Linked DNA regions of Oreochromis niloticus. Each later gene encodes a partner of the first gene's protein in a complex. Links are inferred from orthologs where the notes say so. Each region holds a gene or a part of one and is shown on either strand. Other genes may lie near its edges. The genes, in order: pdzk1, akap10 and slc15a2.

Region 1 (7,994 bases):
TAACAGCTTCTGTGTAACTGGGTGGTGAGTTGGAATCATTCATCTCCTCCATGAAAAGCAGAGGAGAAACTTTCCCCTGTGAATGATACAACATGATATAATTTAGACCACCTGCAGGGATTACTTAACAGACAAGATGTTGGCGCCCTGGCTCACCAGCTTATACACTTGGTCTGTGTCTTTGTCCACTACTAGGAGGCAACATTTGTTGCCACTCTGCTTGATCCTGTCTACCACCTCCTCGTGGCTGCAGCTCTCCACATCTCTGCCATCCACAGCCACCAGCCTGTCCTTTTCCTTCAGATGCGCTTTTTCTGCTGAACTGCCTCTCTCTATGTCCCTGATGAAGTGTCCTGCATGGAGTCATGGAGCACATTATTAAAATGTAGCCTTCTTTGGACAGTGTAATCTACAAAATATAGTCATTATAACCATGCCTGCTTGACTGGGCTCCTCTCTAAGGGTGAAGCCGTATCCATCAGATCCTTTGGTTATGTTGATGATGCGTGGTTCTCGAGGGAGGTACTTTGTTGTGGCTAACCACGAGCCAATCTTTGCATGAGTCTTCTGATAGAACTTGTCTGTTTCTTTGTCGACCAGTAGGAACATGATATGGCTGCCTGCCCGTCTAATTTTGTCCACTGCTCCATCGTGTGTGATGTTTTCTACGTTTTCCCCGTTGATCTCCACCAGACGGTCATTGAGTCTGACCCCTGCCCTTTCAGCTGTGCCTCCTGGGGTCACTTCTGTCATGAAAAGTCCATGCTCACCTAGACATGATGATAAAAAAAAAGGACATTTTTTAAACTTAATTGAACAGTTTTCTCGATAGTTCTCTACAGACTAAAAAGAAAAAAGTCATCCCTTTTGAAGTTTAACCAAAATCCTAATTTTAATTTGTGATAATATCTTTTTGTATCTATTACTACTGAAATACCTTTCAAAGATAAGTGCAAAGAAAACACTGCAACAAGTTAGACATAACGTCCGGGTCTGACAAGTGAAATCTTTGCAAAGGTCTTTAAATCTTCATGCTGGAAGGTGACTCCAAAAGCAAATCACATAAAAGTCTGTAATGAATGAGCACGGTTGTCTAACTATTTCTGTGACTGGAATATAACAGACTGTTGTCCGCACCAGGGTGAATCCTCTTGCCTGATGACAGCAGGGATAGGCTCATGCACAGTCTGAATTGGATAAGTGGAATAAAATGGATAGCTGGACAAAAGTCTGTAATGATACTTAAGCTCCCTTCAACACTATCATGATTATTTCTGGTTTTAGCCACTATCTTCAAGCCTTATTGGCGACTATACATATGAGGCATTAGGAAATGCTCTATTAGCAAATAAATACGCTTTTAGCTGGAACTTATGAACCACTGTAAGTGTCATATAAATGGGTACTTCCAAAGTTAAGCCATTCCAGTTTAGCAAATCTAAACTTCCACTGTCCAGCGTCAAATGGCTTTTATCACTATAAATAGTACTCCTATGGCCTTTTTTATTCTAACACTTACTCAGAATTGGGAGTCCCTGCATCCTCTCCTTACCTTCAACTGAGCGAATAGAAAACCCAAAGCTTGAGCTGGACTTAACCAGGTAGCAGAGTTTGGGTTTTGGACGATGTTTTTCCACTCCATTGGCAACTGGCTTGCTTCCAGGGCTGGAAAGGTTTACTCCCTGGGCTTTTGCTTGCTTGTAGGAGGATTCATCTAGAATGTGGAACGTGACAGAGGTTCCACTGTTTTTCACCAGGTCCACCACCTGTCCAGGAAAAAAAGAAGAAGACTCTAAGAAAAGATGCTTGTCACAGCAGAACTGGTCTAAGAGTTGTTATTGATTTGATTAATGCACTGCAGTATTTCTACATCCTGCTCACTTCAGAATGCGAACGTTCATCGACAAATGTTCCATTGACCCGGAGGATGCGGTCTCCGTCTTTCATGCCAGCCAGCTCAGCTGGACCTCCCATTTCCAAGCAGCGGATCAGGTGACCCTCCTCGCCATTCTCCACCCTCAGATAGAAGCCGAATGTCTGTTTTGGTTTCTTGGATAGGGTAATCACCCGTGGCTTGTACCCAGCCATGTCCTAACAAAAAAGGTGAAAAGCACACACATGGCAATCACAGTGGTAAAGTCATAACATTAAATACACCTGTCACTACTAATGCTTAACTTACAGGCATATCTTTTTTTTTTAACGCCTCCCGCCCCCCGCCACCCTCCCCGTTGTTACTGCCGCTGGTCTTTTAAATATATAAGTAGAGTAGAAACTACTACTGGACCTCAAGGACCAGTAGGAGAGTTGCTTCAGATCAATAATCTTACAGTTAACCTTTCATGCTGGGTCTGCAACAGAAGTTAATGGTTAATAGAAGAAGAGGTTACAGTGGTGATGACTCTCCATAAAAAAGCAGCTTGGACTTTGAATGCACAATAAGAACTTCTGCTGCAATTCTTGCTGGATTGTTATTCCCATACAGGAAGGTCATAAAGTTCTTGTCACTCTGTGTGTGCACATGTACTGGCTGATTTATTTAGCCTTTTGTATGGCTGAATAAACGAAAAATGGCTAAAAACAACGACTTTATTTAAGCAGGCAGGTTAGAATAATTTTTTTGTTTGTATTCCTTATACCTTTACTTTTAAAAGAAATGTTTTTACCTGTCCTAAATTTAAGTGTATAGAATTTATGTTTTCACTGAATGCAATATTCGAACCATATGAGTTTAGCATCTTAAAGATTACACTGTTTATAGATCCGGTATCCAAATAATAACAAATTTATGTCTATAATCTCAATAATGACTTATAACAGTTTACTATAACACAAGCAACACAGCTCACCCTGAAGAAACACTCATCCTCAAGACAAGACAACATTTTCCATTATTCTTAAAATGAATTTATAAGATAGCATAGATCTAGTTTTGAATGTGACATTGAAAAATTTTAACTAACTACACAAAATTACATACAGCGTAGTTGAGTGTTTATAATATACTCACCAGCCTGTCTCTCCTGGCGTCTGAATCTCGAAGGAGAGCTCACCTGTTACTGTTTAGCTGTTATCTATGTATCTCCTGTCTACCTCCTCCTTCCCGCCCCTTTTCCTTCCCCCTTCAGGGACTTTGACAGGCCAAAGGTTAGCCTAAAGGCTGAGTTATTTAACAGTTTCTAGGCTCACAAATTTCTGCAGAGGCATTACAAGGTGGGCAGTCAGCTGTTTACCGGTCAAAGGTACAAAATGCAGGTGGCAAAAAAAACAATGTACAATCCTTGCAGCACACAGTTATTACAGCATTGTGAAATTCGAGTTTTAATCACTAACACAGTATTGTGAAATGACTACAAAAATGCACAATTTAATTGCATAATTTAATTTTTACTTGAATGAAAAAAATGATGGCGTACTTATTAAAACTTGACAAAGAATGACCTAAATTGTGTTATTCTAGCAAAAAGGTCAATAAATTTGCATGCAGTAGTACTTAAAAAGCCAGTTCATGTAATGTAAATATAATCATTAGAGATGAGGATCAGGAGCTGGTTCTTGTGGAGAACCTGTTCCCAGTTGTTCAGTTACTTTGATTTCTGAGTTTGCCCGCCTATCGAGCCCACTTATTGGTTTCATTTGCACTTGTGCTAATCAGCTAATTTCAGTTTGTGTGCTGGAGGAGGAAATTCGTTTTTACAGTTTCTACAGTGTGGATATGAACATTTTGTTTATAGTTTATTGGACAAAAGGAGGAGAGCCCAGTGTTTAAGTGCAAACTGCATCCAGGACAGAACACAACTTCTGCTCTTTGCAAGCACCTGCGCAAACAGTATGCTAACGCTAAGTTAGCCAAGAACCCAGAGTGATGTTAAAGCTGAGTGAATGCCGGCCCCATCCCAGCAGCCAGACCTTGAACTTCAACAGGTTACAAAGCCAGTGATGAGCAATCAGGCTGAAGCTTACCTTTCTGTTCATGTTTCTAACGTAGAATCACTATGATGATCGCTTTAAAGTCTTTTTGTGCTGATTTTCATCCTTGCTTTATGCTGTCAGCTTTGTGTTCATACCTAAATATTAAGAAAGCGAAAGATCCCACGTGTGTCCTCATTAGGAAAGGTTGGGACTGGAGCCTACAGGATTATATTTTGTTAAGTAGTATTTATGAAACAATGAGTTTCAGGTCATTTTAATGAGTAACATGAAAGTTACTTAATAGTGTAAAAAATTACTTTCCCCTGGGAGTAATTAAGTTGTACTGCATTACTTTTAATTATTGTGTTATGTGTAATTTGTGCAATACATTACTTTTTATGAGTAATGATCCCAACACTGATCACAACAAATAGGGGAAATACCTACAACAGGCACAGACACTTGTATGCAATTAATTTGCATGAATGTAATGTCTTTGATATGGTGCTTAGGGATGGCAATGACTCTCAAAGTGGAGCAAATGAGAAGCCAATGAGAATCAATAAAAGAACTGATAAGGAGCAGAATATATAAATATGGACAATGAAATCGGAATTGCTAAGTTCTTATCAATACACGTCCCTGATAATTACCCATGTGGGTGTTTCTCTTACATTTACACACCTCAAAGCTGCAGTGTTTGCATTATGGCACATTCAATCCAGTCTCATTCAACAAATGTGTCATAAACTCCACCCTCAAGGTCATAATGTTCAAATCTAATTCTAATGGTTTTATTGTGATGATATGGTGTCTCTTGAGACATGCAGTGCTGCACAAATGTCTTGAGCAACACTTCCTTTTTTTTCTAGGAAAATGTAAACTAGATCTAGTGATTTAATGAATCACAAAAGAAAATACAGTATATAATGCTAAACAGACAGGGCTTTTCTATCTAGGTACGCTTATACTGCAATGTTAGTGTGTTTGGGATCACTGTCATACTGAAAAATGTGGCTGTTGTTATTCAAATGGTATTTCATGGTCAATCAAAATCTAAAGGTATTTTTCTGTGTTCGTAAATCCGTCAATTTTGACAACATCCCCAACACTATGGGCCTCTAATGTGTTTTTACTGCAGTCACTCGCCTTTGTTCCTCTCTCCTGACCTCTTCTGTAAATACTGATGGTGATTAAAAATCAAGAATTTAAAATTTGGAGTCATCACTCCATTAACCCTTATTCGAGCTGTTTACAGTTCATTTGTTATGTAATTTGGCATACCTCAGCTTTTTCCTCAATAATTCCTTCTTGACAGCCACTGAGATAATTTTTGGTGAGGCTTCATTGAACAGTATGTGGATCAACTGAAGGTCTCAAGTCCTTTGTTAGGTCTTCGCTTTGATGGTTTTCTGTTTCATAGACACATGACTTTCAAATATTGTTATCTGCTGCAGATAGTTTTTTAGCCCAGTGTCCAATTTCCTCAAATTTTTTAAGGACACACTGCACACCATACTGAAATATACCAAGTTTTTAGGTAATACCTCTATGGGAATTACCTTGTTGGTGCAAAAATAGTATTTTATCCTATCAAACATTTTTTTTCATAGATTCAATGAAAGAAATGGAAAGCAGCCAATGTCCAAAGAAAAACTTGGACAACTGTTGATCAAGCCACTATAAAATCTTTTTAATACATCCGGCTCACTGGAAGCAAAATATTAAGAAATTATGGGCCAAGACTGTTGCACAGTACCTTAATGAAGGGACAGAACAACACTGGACTAGCTATCCATTCTGTCAGCATAGATACTTGTATAAAATAATGTGTCCAGGAAGTTTGCTCTCACTAGCATTCATTGATTCTTTAAGAGTCTGAGACCCAGGGGTTAATTGGTCTCACTTTCCAAAAAACAGCTTCACAAATTCCACCTTAGTGTCACCACTGGTTAGAAATTCCCCTCTGTACCTCTTTTCCATGTCATTACTTAAAATGGTAAGGATAAAATGTTGACTTCACTAGTCTTCTAACAAAGTGGACTAAAGGGGGTCATTTATTTTTTTAGTAAAGATCTTCGTGGTGTAAAAAAATTCAAGATAGGATTGGTCGCAGTTAAGTTTTAATGTTTGTTGTTAACCTGGTCGTAACTCTGGATGTAAAAAGCAGTTATACAATGGCACAAAGGTGACAACCAAGGCCTGCAAAAGAAAAGTTTTATTCATTACCAAACTGGTGCCTGCAGCAAGATTTTGTTGTCAATATCTTTTTAAATGTTTTATTGTTACTGCTACTCAGAATTCGGTTCTGGTAGTGTCCTCTCTTTCTCAAGGCCTCTGACGAGGCCACAAAGTAGAGTTTAATTTGCAGTTCCTCTCCATGTCTTTGAACAGAAATTATTTCTGCACTGAGTAGACGGTCAAAACAAATATGAGTGCTGTGGACTGCCAATGATGAGACTGCGCAATATAACACAGGAACTTTTATAGCAGCGCTTTATGCAAATGATGTCCTGACATGTTCAGATTTTTACTTAACAATGTATTATTTTATTTGACTTATTATCTATGTATAATTTTGTTTTTATTTTATTACTATGTGCATACACACTGAGAGTTACCTTGTGTATGTCATGCTGAAAGGAAATAATTACTTTAGAGTCCCCAAATTACATTAATTTGTATGCACAGAACCAAACTGCCTCTGGCAAGTTCATCTTCTAAAAAAATCTCTAGATATATTTATTGAATTTGCATAAATGCAGAAAGAAATCCTGAGTCACACTTGCAAGGTGATATTAAAACTTCCACACATGTATGAGATCCAAATATCTTGCCAGGTAACATCCACAAAGGTGTGTATCCCTTTAAAAAAAAAAGAAGAAGAAAATACAAGGTCTCATTTCCACCTTACTACATCTTCACTATAACATAACCTATGCATCCAACATCTATCAAGCACATCTGGTTGAAAACCCTTTTCGTCACTGCTTTGAGCTTGCATTAGTCTCCCTCCCCCCAATATAATTTTCCTCCTTTTTTTGGCACACTGCTACCTTTTATAGCGCATTACCACCAACAACAGTAATGTATATTGACTGATGTGCAGACCTGCTGGTGGAAAGATGTATGGATATCCATTACCATCCTTCAGCACTTCACAGAAATGTGAATCACATCACTCCACGCTTTTACTGTATGGATATAATTGTTGGTGCAATGCTAGAGCCATCCCGTTGAATGTTACTCTAGAGCACTTACCTTTAACAATAAACTGAATTATGTGTATTCAATACCTTCCACCTCTTCTACAGTAAACTGTGACAAAGTAGACATTGTTGCTGTTTTGTTTTCATCTACTGTTGAAAGCTCCTTTTACTGGGAATAAACTATTCCAAGGATTCCCCTCATGGCACTAACATTGTTGTAGCTGGTTTGGTCCTAACATCACTTAGGATCAATGTCTCACTGCACCCGTGAGAAGCAAATGAAAGATCATATTAGTGTCATATTAGTGAGGTTTGCATTACTGATCTAATGCTTCTCGTTTGTATGTCTGCAATATTTCTGATTTAAGCAAGTTATTTTGAAGAAGCCTCTGTTACACTAGGTCATTGTCCCTGGGGGTTCCTGGAACCAATTTTGAGAGCCAGTGCTTTAGTAAATACTATACTGATGTAAAAAGTATGACGAGGTCTGTTTGTGACAACGTGGTGAGACCGACAACAGGAAATGGCAGAATTTGTGCTGGAGACTTCAATCTTTCTGCCTGTGCACCTGAACACTCAGATACCCCATAGGGGTGTACGTACCTCCTGACCAGGCACTTATTACTGTTGATGGGTTGGCACACTGAGCTTTCCGATTATAACTCTCACACACACACACACACACACACACACACACACACACACACACACACAGTACCAGTTTGGAGCCAGGTTTGAACAATCGATCTCAAGGATTTAGGAGCCACAACCTGAGGGGAGATGAGTGGAAAGAGGCAGAAATCCGTTTCAGCTTGGCTTATTGCTGATGCGTTCACTATCCATTACCTCTTGTCATCACCTTGAATTTGCCAG
Region 2 (7,633 bases), on another chromosome or scaffold:
CTCACCTCTATTGACTTTAGTGTCTGTCCCTTTCTCAGGTTCTTTGCTTTTGGCTGTGGGGAGAAAGAGGAGAGCAGTGGTTGGAAATGGAGAAGCAAGCAGTGTTTTGAATCATAATACAGGGAGGGTGAAGAATCAAAACATGAGATTTCACTGAGGGGTTGATGTCGTGTGGTGGGGATGTGTTTCCCACAACAACGATTCTGTAACACTTGTTGAACTGTAATACAGACTTCTAAGAAAGGCTGCTTAATAATATCTGCAGAACTGAAAACTATTGAAAAGGCAAAAAAAAAAAAGACATTGTTAGTCGTTATCGTGGCAATGTCATTTCACACTGTGTGCTGTTAGTCTGTGTTAATAGTTAATTAGCCCTTACATATGCTTTCCTCCACCTGGCCACACTGCTGCTGACAGATGTGGGTTAAATCTCGAAACTGGGTTCTAAAATGTGAAAACAATGTCCATCCTGCTTTATGTACCACAGTTATTCTCAAAGTTTTCCCAGCATCCTCCACTTCCAAAGATAAAGAAAGTTTGTAGGACGGACCCCACAGTTCTAAATCAATTATTAATTATTTTTTTAAAAAGCTCCAAACAGCATCATCAGCAATCTTTTTGCTTACTTTCCCCACATGAATTATGCTCATTCAACTTCAGATTACTGCATGGTCGTCCACGGCCTCTATACACCGCAGTTTGAGAATCGCTGTTTTACAGCGTGCAGACAGTCAGGGCTTTTATACTAGACGTCTGCATCATGAGTCCTACAATTTGTGCCCTTGGTCTATCAGTTCTGGTTTTCCTTCACATGACTGTAAGCTAATTTACACCTGAAGGTCACCAAGATTTACTGATTGTCCCGAAAAAATACACAGTGCATAATACAGCAGATATGTGAAGCCATTCCAAAGCTCTGCAGCTGTCAGATCAACCAAAAAGAATGATGTGTGAACCCTGCAGGGGAATGAGTGCATGCTGGCAGACATGGTGGCAACCATTCATCAGAGTGACCCTCCAGTCATATCTCCGGATGAAGCAGTTTGGTCAGGCCAAGCGACCGTTTCAAGCAGTGACATCACAAAATGGACCGGGAGGCCTGAACAAATGGAGCTGAAGATGCTCTTTATGTGAGACATTTGGGATGGAGCCATATCTGAGTGAGTGAGTGTGTGTGTGTGTGTGTGTGTGTGTGTGTGTGTGTGTGTGTGTGTGCGTATCAACCAAGAGTCAATGTTGGCTGAGACCAACAGGCTGTCTGCCACAGAGAAGCGACATGGCTTTTAAAAAGTCTGGACCCCAGTCATTTTTAAACAACTGGACTAAAACACAACGATGCAAATAACTACAGTGAAGTAATGCTTTTACGCAATGTTAATGTTATTACAGGACCATGACAGGTTAGTGAAATGGATGCTAATGTTAAGAAAAAAATAGTAACATAAAATAATAAACCTTTAATAACTACAAAGATAATTTACAATAATGTATGAACAGAGTGCCTGGGACTTAGTGGAAAATTGCATTCAAATTTAATAGTAAAACTTTCACTTCCTTCTTTTTTTGGCATTGAAATTCTTCCTCCTAACAGGAACAAATTCACTTCCTGTCGATCCTGAGCAGCATTCTGGGTATGGATAAGTGAAGTCTATATTTCCTCATTTTGGTGATCTGCTGTGTCAGCTGTTTTTGTCACTGTCACTGCCACCAGGAAAACCCACTAATCTTTAGGGGATACCAAACTGCAGGCCAGTTTCAGCAGTGAAGTTATTATGGTGGCTTCCTAAGGAAATGGGACAGGAGCTCTATTGACTCCATTATTAATGGCCTCTCTGGCCTTTATATATTTTTTCTTATTGTGTGATTTCTATCAAAAGCATCAGACAAACCTGTTGTCACCTGTTGTAGGATGGTGCAGCAGAAAAATAAAGTCCTTTCTTTCTTTTCCAAATGTATTTGCTAAACCTACTCTATCCCCCTTAATGTTATAATTTTCAGTTTGATTGACAGGGTTTCAGAGAAGGGCTCATTTGTAGGTGGTGGCGAATCTGACATTTTGCCCACCCACTTTAAAAAAAGATGTAGACCAGACACAAAAGACGCCTGTCAGTGTGACTCCAGCCTTCACAATGACCACAAAAGAGGTTAAACTGTGGGGCTTTGAACTGAAATTCATTGTCACGTTGTGTTCAAGAAAATACAGAAAAAAGCAGGCCCAGCCCATCTAGGTTCTACACAATAGTGACTGGAAATTAGCACTAGCCAACTCCAGGTTCTCTACAGCCAAATGTGTTACAGGAAACGTGTGTCCTTTTGATAATTAACAGCTCTGACTGAGACACAACCTGCCACCGGCAATATTTCTGACATATCTTGCTTGTTAAGTATGTATGAAAATACCTCAACAGAGCTAGCTAGCTGCTACTGAACATTTCGACACAAGCGTTGCTTTAGAGCAGATAACAGTGTTCCTTTGATGCTCTGGAAGCCCTGAATTATGTCTGCATACAGGAAGGCGTTGATGTAGACTTGTGGCAGGTTTCTGTGGTGGATTTAATGCCACCCCGGCTAACATGAAGTTAGATAAATCAGGAAGGGGGGGTGGGGGGGCAGGGAGGCCAGCGCTAAGCTAATCATGTAAAAGCAGTAAGGAGCAGCAGCAAAGGAGGAAACGCATTCCCTCAAACGTCTCAGTTTACACGGCTAACTTATGTACCGACAACCTCATCAGTCACATATTATCGGGCACCCCTCTCCGCGGCGCTAACTACCGTCGACGTTGCAGCCTTCAGCGGGAGCTTTTTCCTCACCTTTCCTCTTGAAAAACGACATGACGGGATTCACACTCTGGACGTTTCCTCAGCTCACTGACACCATCCCGTGGATTCGCGGTTGTCTTCATTCAAATGCAACTGTCGCGTACACTCCTGAGCTGGAAACGGGTTATTGTCGCAGCCACGGCTAGCGCTGTCAATTAAAACATTTCTGCAAATCCGAAACCCAGTTCGGCAGCCATATTGTCAATAAACGTCTCACTTCCGGGCTGGTGCGGCAGCAGCATTGTGGGAAATGGTGTACCGCCTGCGTTGGTCAGCAGAGGGCGCTCTTTGCACGTGAAGAATATTAAAGCTATAAGAGTCACCTTTGATAAATGATTTGGTTTTTACATTTTAATAGAGGTATTCAAAATTTTTAAATAAAATAAAAACAAAACATTAAATTAATTTAATTATTATATTGGAAACATGGTATGATAATATTGAAAGCCTGTATGCCTGTTGGCTGTACATGTAGCTGTACAAGAACCTTTAAACAGCCTTTAGGGAGAATTTCTTAAACGTTTCTTCCAAAAGGTTTCCCCAAATACTAGGGGGAAACATTTAGAAAGCCTCAAAGTTCTACTATCACCCAACCACATGGCAGCAATGTAATTCATTCAGACACGAAGAGAGGTTGCTGAAGTTCCAACAGAACATCAGAATAGGGAAGAAAGGTGATTTAACTGTCTTGTTACAATCGAGGTATGCAGAGCATCTTTGAACACACGTTTTGAACCTTGAAGCAGATGGGCTAAGCAGTAGACAACCACACCAAGTACCACTTTTGTCTGTTAAAAAAAGCAAACAGGCCCTAATCAAAACTAGGCAATAGAAGATTAGAAAAACGTGGCCTGGTGATGAATGTTTAGTGATGCAACGTTCGAATAGAAGGGTCAAAATTTCATGTAGACAACATAAAAACATGCATCCTTATTTGTCTCAATGGTTGAGGCTGGTGTCATGGTGTGAGGGATATTTTCTTGGCACACTTTGACCCCTTGGTACCAACAGAAAATCATTTCAGCCTTTCCCACAGCTTATTTGAACCTTACCAAACACAATATATAGTTATTTTACAACACAAACAAAAAAGTCACTCAGAAGAAAATCATTGTCTTAGTTTATTAATTAAAAAACGAAGTTCTTTACAAGTAACACATCTTTCCATCGATTTTGCTGTGACAGTTTTCTGCTGAGGAAAGATTTATTTGAAATGACACAAGACGGATTTAAAACACTAAAACCTGTATTACTTTAAAACCGTATCACTGGTTAGGTGTACACAGTTATACGCTTACACCACTTGTCTTTCTAAGCACCAACACTGCTATTCTACCCTATTTCAGCAAGTGGAAGTATAAGAAAGCGATGTGAGGTGGATATTAATCAAGCACATTGTGCACACACCCACAAGAGGCCTAATCATACAAATAAGTGAATCCAGGATGTGGGCAGGTTGGCCATGGAGGGTTTTAAAAAGCTAGCTTTCTCTAAGCAGCTTTACCTACTGCAACAGTCTAGCCTGCAACACGTTGCACAATTTTTTTTGATTGCACTGGAGTTGGCAAGCATTAATGTAGGCCAAGGTCCAAAGTACGTCAGCATTGTGATGTCACTGTCCACCTTTTTTTTTCTTCACACAATTCAGATCACTTCATTGGGATTCTTTTATTTTATTGATTCATGTGCAGTGATATTTTTTTTTAATGTATGAAATGTAACATGCTTTAAATGAATAAATGAGTCGTCTCAGTTTAGATTATCAGAAGATTCTCTGCTGCCAACATGTTTTATGCAGTTTTTCAATCTCGTCCGACTCCGTGGGTCTCCTTCGGCCTGTCGATGCGGAAGACAAACTCTGCAGGCATGAAGTAGCCCAGATACTCCACACTGTCAGGTGTAGTGTCTATGTAGTAGTGGCCACCTTCTCCGTGGTGACTGAAGCAGTGGGTGTGTTCCACACGCAGGTCCAGGCCCTGCAAAGCAACCAGGCGGACATTACAAAGAAGCCTACTGAACAAAAACACTGTAATCAGGTAATAAAACTATAATCAGATCTTTTTATATTTCTGCATCACACTGAGGTGTGAGTCTATCGGCTTTAACTTACAGGGTCTCTGGATACGAGCACCGACTGGCAGATGAGTGGAGCGCTGACCTCAAAGTGCTTGAGCCAGTTGTTGACGTCATCGTTGGTGTTGAGGGGGCAGACTGAAAACTCTCTTGGCTGTTGACAGGCAAGGAAACAAATCAAATCGCGTGGCTGTGTCAGCAGCAAGTCTGTAACATGCTCTGTGTCATGTCCACTATTTACCATGATGTGGATTTTAGCCTTCCCTTTCTGGATGATGAAGGTGCCTCCCAGGGCCAGACTTTTATCAGGGTAATGACGTTCAAGGGTCGTCCGCAAGGCCGTCACCAGACTGTGGCTTCCTGTTCTCGTCTTTGCCCGAATCTCTATGACCTGCAGAGGCACACGGGTGAAGACTACCAACTCAGCATGTTTAGTCACTGATCTCTTGTTAATGTTTATTCTCTCATTACATGGGGCTAAAGTTCACCCAAAACAACATCAGCAATGTTATTAACTTACAGGTAATTATGTTTAAGTATAACTAGTTCATTATTTTCCAAAAGCCAAATCAGGATGAGAGTGCATTTTTTAAAAGGCTACGATTGACTACCTTTCCAGGTTTCCCTTCACAAGCATACAGATTTCCCAGCAGCCCAAAGTTGCAGTCTGTGAACTTGTCGCTGTATTTTTCTAGCAGACACTGGCCGTCAGCTGGATTGATGGAGGAGAAGTAGCTGCTGTTCACTGCGGGCCTTCCCTCCGCCTCGGTCAGAACCAGAGGCATCAGCTGTGGACAAGAACATTCATTCCACTGACTGCTGACTTACCAAACTGCCCTTTCAAGATTAGAATGACAGCTAGTTTATACTGAGGTCATTTGCTGAGTGAAGCGCTTTGGATTAGAAGGAAGGCAATTCACCTCTGCGTTCATTCCAACTATTCTATTGGGCGCAGCTGCTGCACCGAGGATGAAAGCGCCCGGAAGTTCCAGCTCCTTTGATACAGTGTTCATGTTGTATTCCTGACAGTAAAAGAAGAAGAAGATGCTGAATATGCTTTAGCAAAACCTTTCACTAAAGTTTCTCAATACAATTCTTTTATTTTAAAAATTACCTTTTCCTTTCGGACCAGAGGCACCAGATATGGCACACCACCAACATCAGTGATGCGAGGGCTTCCACACAAGCCTGCAGGGTACAGGCGAAATTAAGAATCTTTCAGGGTGTTTCTGATACACAGTCTGCAAATGAAGCTCATCCCCACTCATATGCATGTTTTATGAAATGTTTTAAATTGACCAAAATGCTTATGCACGTAGTGGAACATACAAGAAGGATTAGTTTTTAATCACACTTGTGTTTTTGATAGGCTCCTACCTTTGACAGGAAACTGGAAGGGTTCTTTGGTGAGATCCGGACACTCCACAACACTCACTTGAACTTCAGCAAAGTTGGTTTCCAGTCCTGCTTGTAATACTGCAACCAATCAGCAACAACACCTTCATTAGCGCCCAGTCACATGAACACACATGCACAACTTTGCGCTTATATATCAGAGCTTACCGCCACGAAGCTCTTCTAGATCTGGGGCGTGCAGCTGAACCTTCTCGGTTTTGCTGGTGTCTGCCATAGATCCACCTGAGAGTGAGCGCGCTGTGACACAGTTTAGAGGTGCAGGGAAAGTGGATAAGAAAAGCGGACAGGACCTGGGTTAAACTTCAAACAAAGAGTAAATATGAACAAGATGATAAGCCTCCCCGGAAGTGTTTCCTCATCCAATTTAAAGACACTGGTTATTTCTTTCACTTAAAAAATCGAACAAAAATTGCCCATATTCGCCTTAATAATTAATAATTCCCTCTAGATAAAAAGGAAAGCATTATTATTGGCTTGGCTCTAGAAGTGGGGTCTTTGGGCTCGGGAAATCTCCCAACTCTATGAACTGCACACCAGTTCATATAATTGGTTACATTTAAAGCTAATATCTGAAGATAGAGCTCATTAAATAATGCAGACTACGACACAGACGATGAATGTGATTCACACAGCAGGAGACACTTTACATTTGTCACAAGTTGCTGGACAGGCTGTGGATCTATGTAGTGTGTAAGCTGGTTTGCTGCAGTCTCATACAGAAAACCAGCTGCTCGTGCTGTCTGAACGGAACTAATACCATTATTACTGCTAATTACAATATTAATCTAAATTATATCTCTGTGTGAGGCTCATTATTATGTCGAGTTGACGTAGGAGCCATCAACCAACAAGAAAAATAAATATCTTATATAGAGCTCAGCTGGAGACAAAAACCGGAAGTGGAAACACTGTAACCTCTTGATTCGTTTAGTATCGTCTGCCTCCTCTTTGGCGATTGGTCAGATGGCCGTCGTCACCTCGGTGACGTCTAAACACTTCCAGGTCAAATCGCATGTGGAGTGTTTTGCGTGTTTTGGTGAAGTCTTGTATTTACGTGTTTCATGTCTAAGATTTTTCACGGATCCCTCAGTGAGTCCTACGATGGCGAAAGTGGGTCAGTCCAATGAGTGGACTGAATCCGACGCTGTTGCCGAAATTGCTACAGCGGATCCATCGGATTTTGTGCTGGAAACGTTGCCTCCTGAACATGTGGAGAGAATTTCGCGGTTTATCGAGTCTTCTTCTGTTCTCTGTTCGAGTCAGAACAGAGAGGATGGTGCAACTGAAGGAGAGGCCGCTGAAGCAGACAGGTGAGGAGTGGAGGT
Region 3 (7,850 bases), about 6.4 Mb from region 1:
AGACACGAGAGTCGCTTGGGAAAGTTTAAGATGAACCCTGTGTGCTGCTAAAGCCAACATCACAACTCACGCTGTTAACTAAGCAACATCTTCATTCAAAACAGACGTCCTAGCTTTTCCCGAGCACTCGACAACAACTCAACTCTTGATCTCCGTCAGCAGATGGCATTTCCTGGCTGACTGCAATTCTGCTAGTTTGTAGCTCTTAAATTACCGTAGAGGCCACCAGAATAAATCCAAAACAACTTGGTTATTCTGATGGTTACAGAATATCAGTAATCCATTATTTTCAAACCACTTACCTCTCTGATGCGATTTCTCTTCTTTTATTTATTAGTAAAATTAATATTGTTGGTATTTTTACTAATGACTGAAATAAATGAGATGTTTGGGGTCTATTTTTTTATATTCTCTCACATTTTAGAGACAGTGTAATTAAATAAAACCCCCGAGTCTTAAGTTCACTCGGATTGAGGAAAAATGTTTGTCAGTAGCTGAAACTGTGGACACAGTGCATCAGCTTAAAACTGCAGGAAATTGCGTGGTGTATTTACATCTGTGTTTGTGTGTGATCCGGCTGAAGTAAATCTGTCACTTATGGAGATAAGTGAGGTCGTGTGAGGGAACAAGAGAGACCTTATTTGATGCCTCTCTATTATATTGCCCCAATAATACTCATAATATGTAATGTAGCAAGCTAAAATTACTCTGTGATTCCAGAAAACCTTACTTTTATTCAGGCTTTATATAGATTTGCACTGTAATATCACCCAGGCTTTTATTTGCATACCTTTCATGCCATAGTAGGAGAAGCGTTCGCAGAATTCATTCACCACTATGAAGCAGATGCTGACTGGGTAATTGGTCCCCAAAAGTTTCTAAAAGAAGCAAAATGTATTAACAGAATGAAGTTCAACGCACATTATTCTCCAACAATCACACCGAAGTAAAAGCACATCCAGAATCCACTATCTAATCTTTTTCCCCCCACCTTTGTCAAATATAAACAATAACTCGCAGGTTCAGTGAATAGTTTTATTCTTTAACAGAGAATACTCTGACATGAAAAGAGAGGAATGTAGCTGATATATTCTTCCTGTTAGTCAATCTCACAAGATACTGAAGTTAATCATTACACAGAAATAGAAGTTTTATAGGTTTAACGCTATAATGAGACCAGGCTCAGCTAAAACGAAGAAAAATATCCATCGCTTGAGATCTGAGTGGATTTTTCTGCAGTGGATGTTTAGTATTCAACTAAACACCGTGTGGGATGTTTTGATTAACAATGATCTGCAACTTTACGCTGTTGCTTGAGAGCATTTTGACAATTTAGGTCATCTGTCAGATCGTATCATTTACATCAGCTGTAGCCCTGATATGTAAAGGTATATGATTCATGTGCTTACACCTCTATATAAACTGCCTACAAGCAGTAAAACACTTTGCACAACCGGCTGCTAAAAATGGAGGCTTCTGTAGAATTTTACTGGTAATGATGTGCTCACTGATCTGGAGCTGGATGTAATTAATATGAGCTCAGTGTTTTAATCATCATCAACATCATCATCATCATAGGTCCATGGCCTCATTCAGTGAGCTTTAGGCAGTCAGTGAGTCACAGTCACTTTAGTGTATACAAGTAGATAAACACTTACTAAGAGAAGTTAGACTGGTGCGTCCCTACTTGGTAATGTTTCTTTTTTCTTTTTCTTTTTTTTTTAATTGATAAAACTTAATTTAAGGGTTTGTTTACCAAATGTGCAACGAACATATTTACTCCCATCACCATCTCTGGTTTTGTGTCATTTAATTTCAATTAATCAAAGCATGAAAACATGAAAGAAAGAAAAAACAGAAAAACAGACTCCGTTCATTTTCAACATGAGTCCATTCAATTTTATTATTTTAAATGTCATTTTAATAATCTTTTTTTATATATATATTTTATTTATTTTATATTATTATTATTATTATTATTATTATTATTTTTAACATGTTCAATGTATCATTTTTGGCATGTCAAGTGTACAGCACTTTGTGTTCAGCTGGGGGCTGATCTGAAAGTGCTATATAAATAAATTGCTTGCTTGCTTGCTTGCTTGTCTCTGTTATATTATTTTACCTCACTGTATCAACAGTTTTCTACAACTGAGGAAAATCAAAGCGTGGTAGATATTGTCCATTTTCTGCATGATAAATCTGCACAGTAAGCATATTAAAAATGATCCTTTAACGGATTTGCTATCTCCAAAAACATAATCGCTCAGGCCACATGTGGCACCAGCTTTCTCCATACAGCAGTTAGTGTGGGTTTACTTTTAAAGGGGAGGGGGTGCCTGTTGCATCATCTTACCAATAATAATTTAGCATAGCGCTTCAGTGGGAGCTTGGTCTCAAAGCAGACTTCCCTCTGTCTCCATAGCCCTCTTCTGCATGCTTCGCATACACGTCAACAACATATCTTTGCGTGTTTTATTTCCACAGACGTCCCGAGCACCGTCTGCTCCCATATGTCCCCGCGTTCCAACCCGCGTACAACTTTTCTTTTTTCTTGTTTTTCTTTTTTTTCTTTTTTTTTCTTTTACTACGCATCTTTGCGTTGTAAAAATCAGAGACGCACAACAAAAGTAACTGAGCAACTCAGCGCATAATCAGTAAAAAAAATCACAAAACAGCATGTTTACCTTTCCCATGTTGTCTTATTAGATGCGAGAGTTTGGGATCTTTACGGCAGCACCGGGAGCTCCTGACTATCATCCAAGTCCGTCCCACTCCGTTCCGCTCACTGAAGGCACAGATGCAAAAACCTCGGACACTTACACTCTTAAAGCACACTTAAAGTTAATATTCCACCACAGAAAACTGGACTTGTTACCTCAGGAAAAGCAGCGAGCCTCCGGACTTCGGTCTTTTGTGAAATATTAAAAAGGAGGTAGCAGATGAGTGTTTATATATGCGTATATTTACAACGCGTTTCACTCCCTTTTTGGGGGGGAGGTCCGCAAGTTGCAGTGAAGCGGGATCTACTTGTACAATAGAGTCGTTGTTGCACTCAGCCGCAGACCTGACTGTGGGATGGAGGGTCAAAGTGTTGTGGATGTGCGGGTCAAAGCGCATATCTCTGGTTGGATGACTTCGAGTGTATCATTTATTTCTTTTTTATTCACCCTGAGTAATATTAGCGGTGGCGGTGGTGGACGTGTGTCCCAAGTACACTTGTTAGTTAGTTGCTGTTTGAGGGATGGGTTTAAGGGTTAGGCTTAGACATTCAATGATATTAAAGGTAAACCTATAAGTCTAGAGAATACATGATGTCAAAGTAATTGCAGCTGTTGTTTCATCCCCGATAATGTACCCACAAAGGTGTGTGTGTGTGTGTGTACTTGTATTACTCATATTGTGGGGACATGCGTCTTTTACACATATATATACTTTTACACTGTCACACTGTGGGGACCCGTATTCCATTTGGGAGCAAAAAGGATGCCCACATAGTGTAAAACATTAGATGTTAGTGAACTTTGTATAGTGGTGTATTTTTGTATTTGTATAATATATTAATGTGGGCTATGTGAGTAATGTCTTCTGAAGTTGTAGAAATGTTGCTGCTGTGAGCGGATGTGTGGTGTTAATGTGGTCTAATGGTCACCACCACTAGACGCAGTTTTTTTTGCGATCTTCACAATTGTTTAAGTCTGCTAAATTTAAACATGAGCAAAACAGCACAAGATTAAAAAATGGTTTAAAGACGCCACAGTTGGAGTTCACTTTATCCATTTTTAATAAAAGATTGTTTAAAAAAACAAATTAATACTTAACAAATGTGCTTGGACTTTTAGAAAACACACATGATTTTAAAACTCACAGATACAGAAATAACTGTTAAAATTTTTGCAGTGCCATTGTTCGAAATTACTGAAAGTGTCTTACATACAAAGCCAATTTCGATTGCTTTCAAGTAGAACATGCTTTACTCATTCCAAAAGTTTTTTTCTTTCTTTCTTTTTTTTAAAGTATCATTTTTCTACTACTTTGCCTGGATCCACTATTTATAACACTGGTCAAAAACTGCAAACAACAAAACAGACAAATTAGCCTGAAATCGTAGGTGGGGCACAGATAACCAGGAGAAAAAAAAATAAAGTTGACCAGAATTATTTTTCGGAGAGGGAGAAAATAAATAAATAAGAATTTTATGATGCTATATATATATTACATACTTACTTTAAACAAATGTTTATTTGGATTTTCTATTAATATTTTCTATTAATATTCTTCTGAAATGGATCATACCAGAAGAGGTTTGAGAACCACTGGTATAACATCCCATGCAACATGCCAAACCTTGAGAGATGAGACTTAAGGAAACAGTAGATATCAGCTCCGGCTGTTTGAACATCACCCCAAAACCACCACTGGCCAACACTGTGCTGGCATTAATGACAACCAGTGTAGTAGCCAAAAGTTTAGAAGTATAGGTAACAAGTTACCGGTGCCAACATTTGGACAAAGAAGTAATTGTTCTAAAACAGTGTTTTTTCTAACTGAAATATAGTCTTAAAAAGAGGGGTGTTGTTTCGTTGGGTTGCTTCTTTTTCCAAAGCTGAATCTGAACGAACCAAAAGATTTCTGATTTGTGCAAACAATATCCTTTGCACAAATCAGACCAAAGTGGAGGGGTGTCCAATAACTGACACAGTGGTGCTTAGACAACAACCTTGTCCTGAACAGCAGCAAGACTAAGGAAGTCATTGTGGATTGCAGGAGGTCCAGCAAGACAAAACATGCTCCTCTCCTCATACACAGAGAGGCAGTAGAGCGTGTGGACAACATCAAGTTTCTGGGTCTTCACATAACATCTGACCTAACATGGTCCCTGAACACACCACACCTGGTGTGATGTCCCCAGCAAAGGCTCTTCTTCTTCAGGAAGCTAAAATGGAACAAACTCTCTTCTCAGCTGCTCATGAACTTCTACGGAGCCACAAAAGAAAGTATCATCTGTCTTAGTATGACTGTGTAGTATGGCAGCTGCACAGCACAAGACAGAAAGAACTTGGCCCAGGTGATGAAATCACCACAAGGGATTGTGGGAAATCCACTTCCACATCTGGACTCGGTGAACCCTAGACAGATCCAAAAAAAGTGCCAGACGTATCGCTGCAGACCTCACCCACTCTGGCAATGGACTGTTTTTTACTGCTTCCTTCAGGAAAGTGGTATAGGAACATGAAAACGCACCACCAGCCTGAGGTTGGAGAGACAGCTTCATTCCCCAGAGCTGTGAAATCCAATTCTCTGACTTTTTGCACATTTATTCTGCACACCTGCACACATGGATAGTGTGCATTCACTTGTCTTATAGTGTATCTGTATATTTATGTACAGTATATTTATGTATGTAAAAGGGTGTTCTCTTCTGTGCCAAGAGCTACCGAACAAAAATTCATTATGCACATATTAACAATAAAAGGATTTGTCTTCTTCTTTTTCTTCTTCTTGGGCTTGCAGCCCACAGGATCTGAGCACCTTACTGGTGTTATGGCTCACAAAGTTCTTTGGGGAAAAGAGACTTTTTCTAGTTGAACATACAGCATTAAACAGATTATAAAAGAATCCAAACAATCACAACCTTTTGACATGTAGGGATTTATTAATCACTTTGTGGGTCATGACTTGTAAGTGTAGGATTAACATTTTTCGAACAGCTAATGGAAGTGGTAATAACAATCACATGGCTGTTCAAACAAGTCACCAAAACACAGCTAAACATTTGCTTGCTCACTGGCCACCTGATCATTTTATTGTGACTATAAAAGCTATGTCTGGACAGTGACACATTAAAGAAGCTTAAAAAAATCGATTGTCTCTGTAAAGAAAGAAAATGAGTAAGGCGTGAATGAAAAATGTCTTCAGTGACAAAACAGACCACAAGAGGGCAGCATTGGTCTACGACAGTACATACTACTAACAGTAAACATTAAAACTTTCCAACAATCAGCAATAAAACAAAAATTTAAACTTAAAATGATGGATTTCCTGAAGAAAATTTACTTTATGTTAAAATGCCTTTAAAAACCTGTGCAGTATAGATTTATTTTCAGACATGATCATTGATTGGGCGTATCCACCTATTAATGTCCTTCTGTTTATGCAACTCTGGCTAACACAGAGAGACAGATAACCATGCACGTTAACATTCAGAACTACCACACACACATACACAATACAACACAGAAAAATCCCACCCTAAATACAAATATTTTATGTGCCTCAAATCTAACTGGGGACAGTAGTCCCAAATGAACTGGTGTGTGAGCTGATATAGGTCCCCAATTTCTACATAAATGAACTCACATCAAACCTCCAAACCCACACACAAGTACTACTTGTGTGTGTGCATTGACAGACATGTTCCTTAATTAAAGCAAGATTACATACTGCTTGTGTGTGTGTATTTGTGTGTGTGTTGTCAAGTCTGAACATACACAAAAATTAAAACACACCAAAGTAAAGTGATCTCTCTCCTTTCACCTCAGACAGCACTGCCATAAAGCTCCTTCTCTTTCACTTGACGTGTGCCTTTACGTTACTGCCATCTTGTGACCGCTGTTAACATTGTCACTGAAAGATGTGCTTATTTCAGTCTCATAGGAGACTACAGCTTTGTCAGTCCCTGAGGGTGCGTCCACCTCCTGTTACACCTCCTGTTACAGATGACTAAAGCTGGGCAGGCTGAGAGGCCAGAAACTCTTTTTCTTGTGGTTTGCACATGTGCATTGTGGACAAACCACTGGTCTGACAGGCAAGCTGCCGCTAGCTCAGCTTTTACTGCTCTGAGATCAGTTATGGTGTGCATTAGCAAGCAAACCACCTTCAATGATTTAGCATCATAACAGAGAAGTTCCCTCTTGCTAACCTCGCTTGGTTAACATATATGATGTAAAGAAGATTGAGCATGAAAAAGTTTTTAATAACTTCTTTAGTACATTAACAAGGAAAGCTGTGACGATGTCTCTGAACCTGTCCAGTCTAATAAAAACAGGCAAGTGTACCAGGTGCAGGGTCAGCCAGCACTTTCAGAGTAGCATCTATGAGAATGTCTAAATGTTTAACCATCTCTTTTGCCAACACTCCACGTTCATTTTTCATTCATATTTGAAATCACCCTGTAGATATTGACAGTTAACCACGTCACACATTGCTCAATCCTTTTAATTCTGCTTGTGCTGAATGCTATTTTTTGTGCGAAATAAAGATGTAGATTTTTGTTTCTGTGGTCATGAACCACTAACAGTTTTTCAGAGTTCCTCACTGGACAGCTACTACAAACTCATAATTAATATATTTTATGAATGGAGCTGGACATTAAACACAATATAAAGTATTTAAAATTAGGTCACCCTTAAACATATATAGCAGTAATATTAATCCATTTAACATTGATGAGAAATAATTTTCTTCAGAATAATTATCTCAGTTTTTATACTTTATGCACAATTTTCCACTAATACAGTTTTTTGTTTAATAAGGTGTTTTCATAGTGTTTTATTGCTCCCAATGAAATGGTTTGAAAAATTCCTCCACCGCTTGTCATTTTCAGCCAATAGTATATCATTTTTTTATAATATAGTAGATATTTATCTAACTATAGTAATACTAATAGTAATATTTTACAATTCTTCAGTCATGAAGGAGTGCAGAAGGGTGAAGATGTCAATGTAGAGGGTGGCCAGGCAGGTATGTTTGAATGTCATCCAGTTTATCTTGTTAAATTGGTAAGTAGTGGAGGAAGATGTATGTGTGCGTGTGTCTCCATTATATACTGTACAACATAAACCCAGTTC

The links.
Region 2: the proteins of pdzk1 (region 1) and akap10 are in contact, whole or in part, in a crystal structure (PDB 3TMH), measured with the Homo sapiens proteins. The link is inferred for Oreochromis niloticus from reciprocal best matches to the Homo sapiens genes PDZK1 and AKAP10. Residues at the interface, in NP_001188254.1 of Homo sapiens: Asn386, Gly387, Tyr388, Gly389, Phe390, His391, Leu392, Asn393, Ala394, Ile395, Arg396, Phe402, Lys404, Tyr436, Glu437, Val440, Ile443, Gln444; in NP_009133.2 of Homo sapiens: Pro655, Leu656, Glu657, Lys658, Ser659, Thr660, Lys661, Leu662.
Region 3: the proteins of pdzk1 (region 1) and slc15a2 are in contact, whole or in part, in a crystal structure (PDB 6EZI), measured with the Homo sapiens proteins. The link is inferred for Oreochromis niloticus from reciprocal best matches to the Homo sapiens genes PDZK1 and SLC15A2. Residues at the interface, in NP_001188254.1 of Homo sapiens: Asn386, Gly387, Tyr388, Gly389, Phe390, His391, Leu392, Asn393, Ala394, Ile395, Arg396, Gln407, Tyr436, Glu437, Val440, Ile443, Gln444; in NP_066568.3 of Homo sapiens: Glu723, Thr724, Lys725, Lys726, Thr727, Lys728, Leu729.

What each region holds. Positions count from the first base shown.
Region 1 is NC_031987.2:19,838,268-19,846,261, forward strand, and holds the start of pdzk1 (Na(+)/H(+) exchange regulatory cofactor NHE-RF3), read right to left. Parts: upstream 3,104-7,994; 5' UTR 3,011-3,103; intron 2,092-3,010; 5' UTR 2,089-2,091; coding exon 1,882-2,088; intron 1,767-1,881; coding exon 1,553-1,766; intron 771-1,552; coding exon 438-770; intron 354-437; coding exon 157-353; intron 77-156; coding exon 1-76. UniProt on the Homo sapiens protein: A scaffold protein that connects plasma membrane proteins and regulatory components, regulating their surface expression in epithelial cells apical domains.
Region 2 is NC_031975.2:9,534,276-9,541,908, forward strand, and holds the start of akap10 (A-kinase anchor protein 10, mitochondrial), read right to left. Parts: upstream 3,052-7,633; 5' UTR 2,833-3,051; coding exon 2,811-2,832; intron 54-2,810; coding exon 6-53; intron 1-5. Other genes in the region: lg10h11orf54 (ester hydrolase C11orf54 homolog), read right to left, coding at 4,622-4,795, 4,930-5,046, 5,134-5,283, 5,504-5,680, 5,813-5,914, 6,007-6,080, 6,270-6,368, 6,456-6,522; eukaryotic translation initiation factor 5B, read left to right, coding at 7,272-7,618. UniProt on the Homo sapiens protein: Differentially targeted protein that binds to type I and II regulatory subunits of protein kinase A and anchors them to the mitochondria or the plasma membrane.
Region 3 is NC_031987.2:26,202,214-26,210,063, reverse strand, and holds the start of slc15a2 (solute carrier family 15 member 2), read right to left. Parts: upstream 3,030-7,850; 5' UTR 2,879-3,029; intron 2,789-2,878; 5' UTR 2,697-2,788; coding exon 2,688-2,696; intron 879-2,687; coding exon 791-878; intron 1-790. UniProt on the Homo sapiens protein: Proton-coupled amino-acid transporter that transports oligopeptides of 2 to 4 amino acids with a preference for dipeptides. Transports neutral and anionic dipeptides with a proton to peptide stoichiometry of 2:1 or 3:1.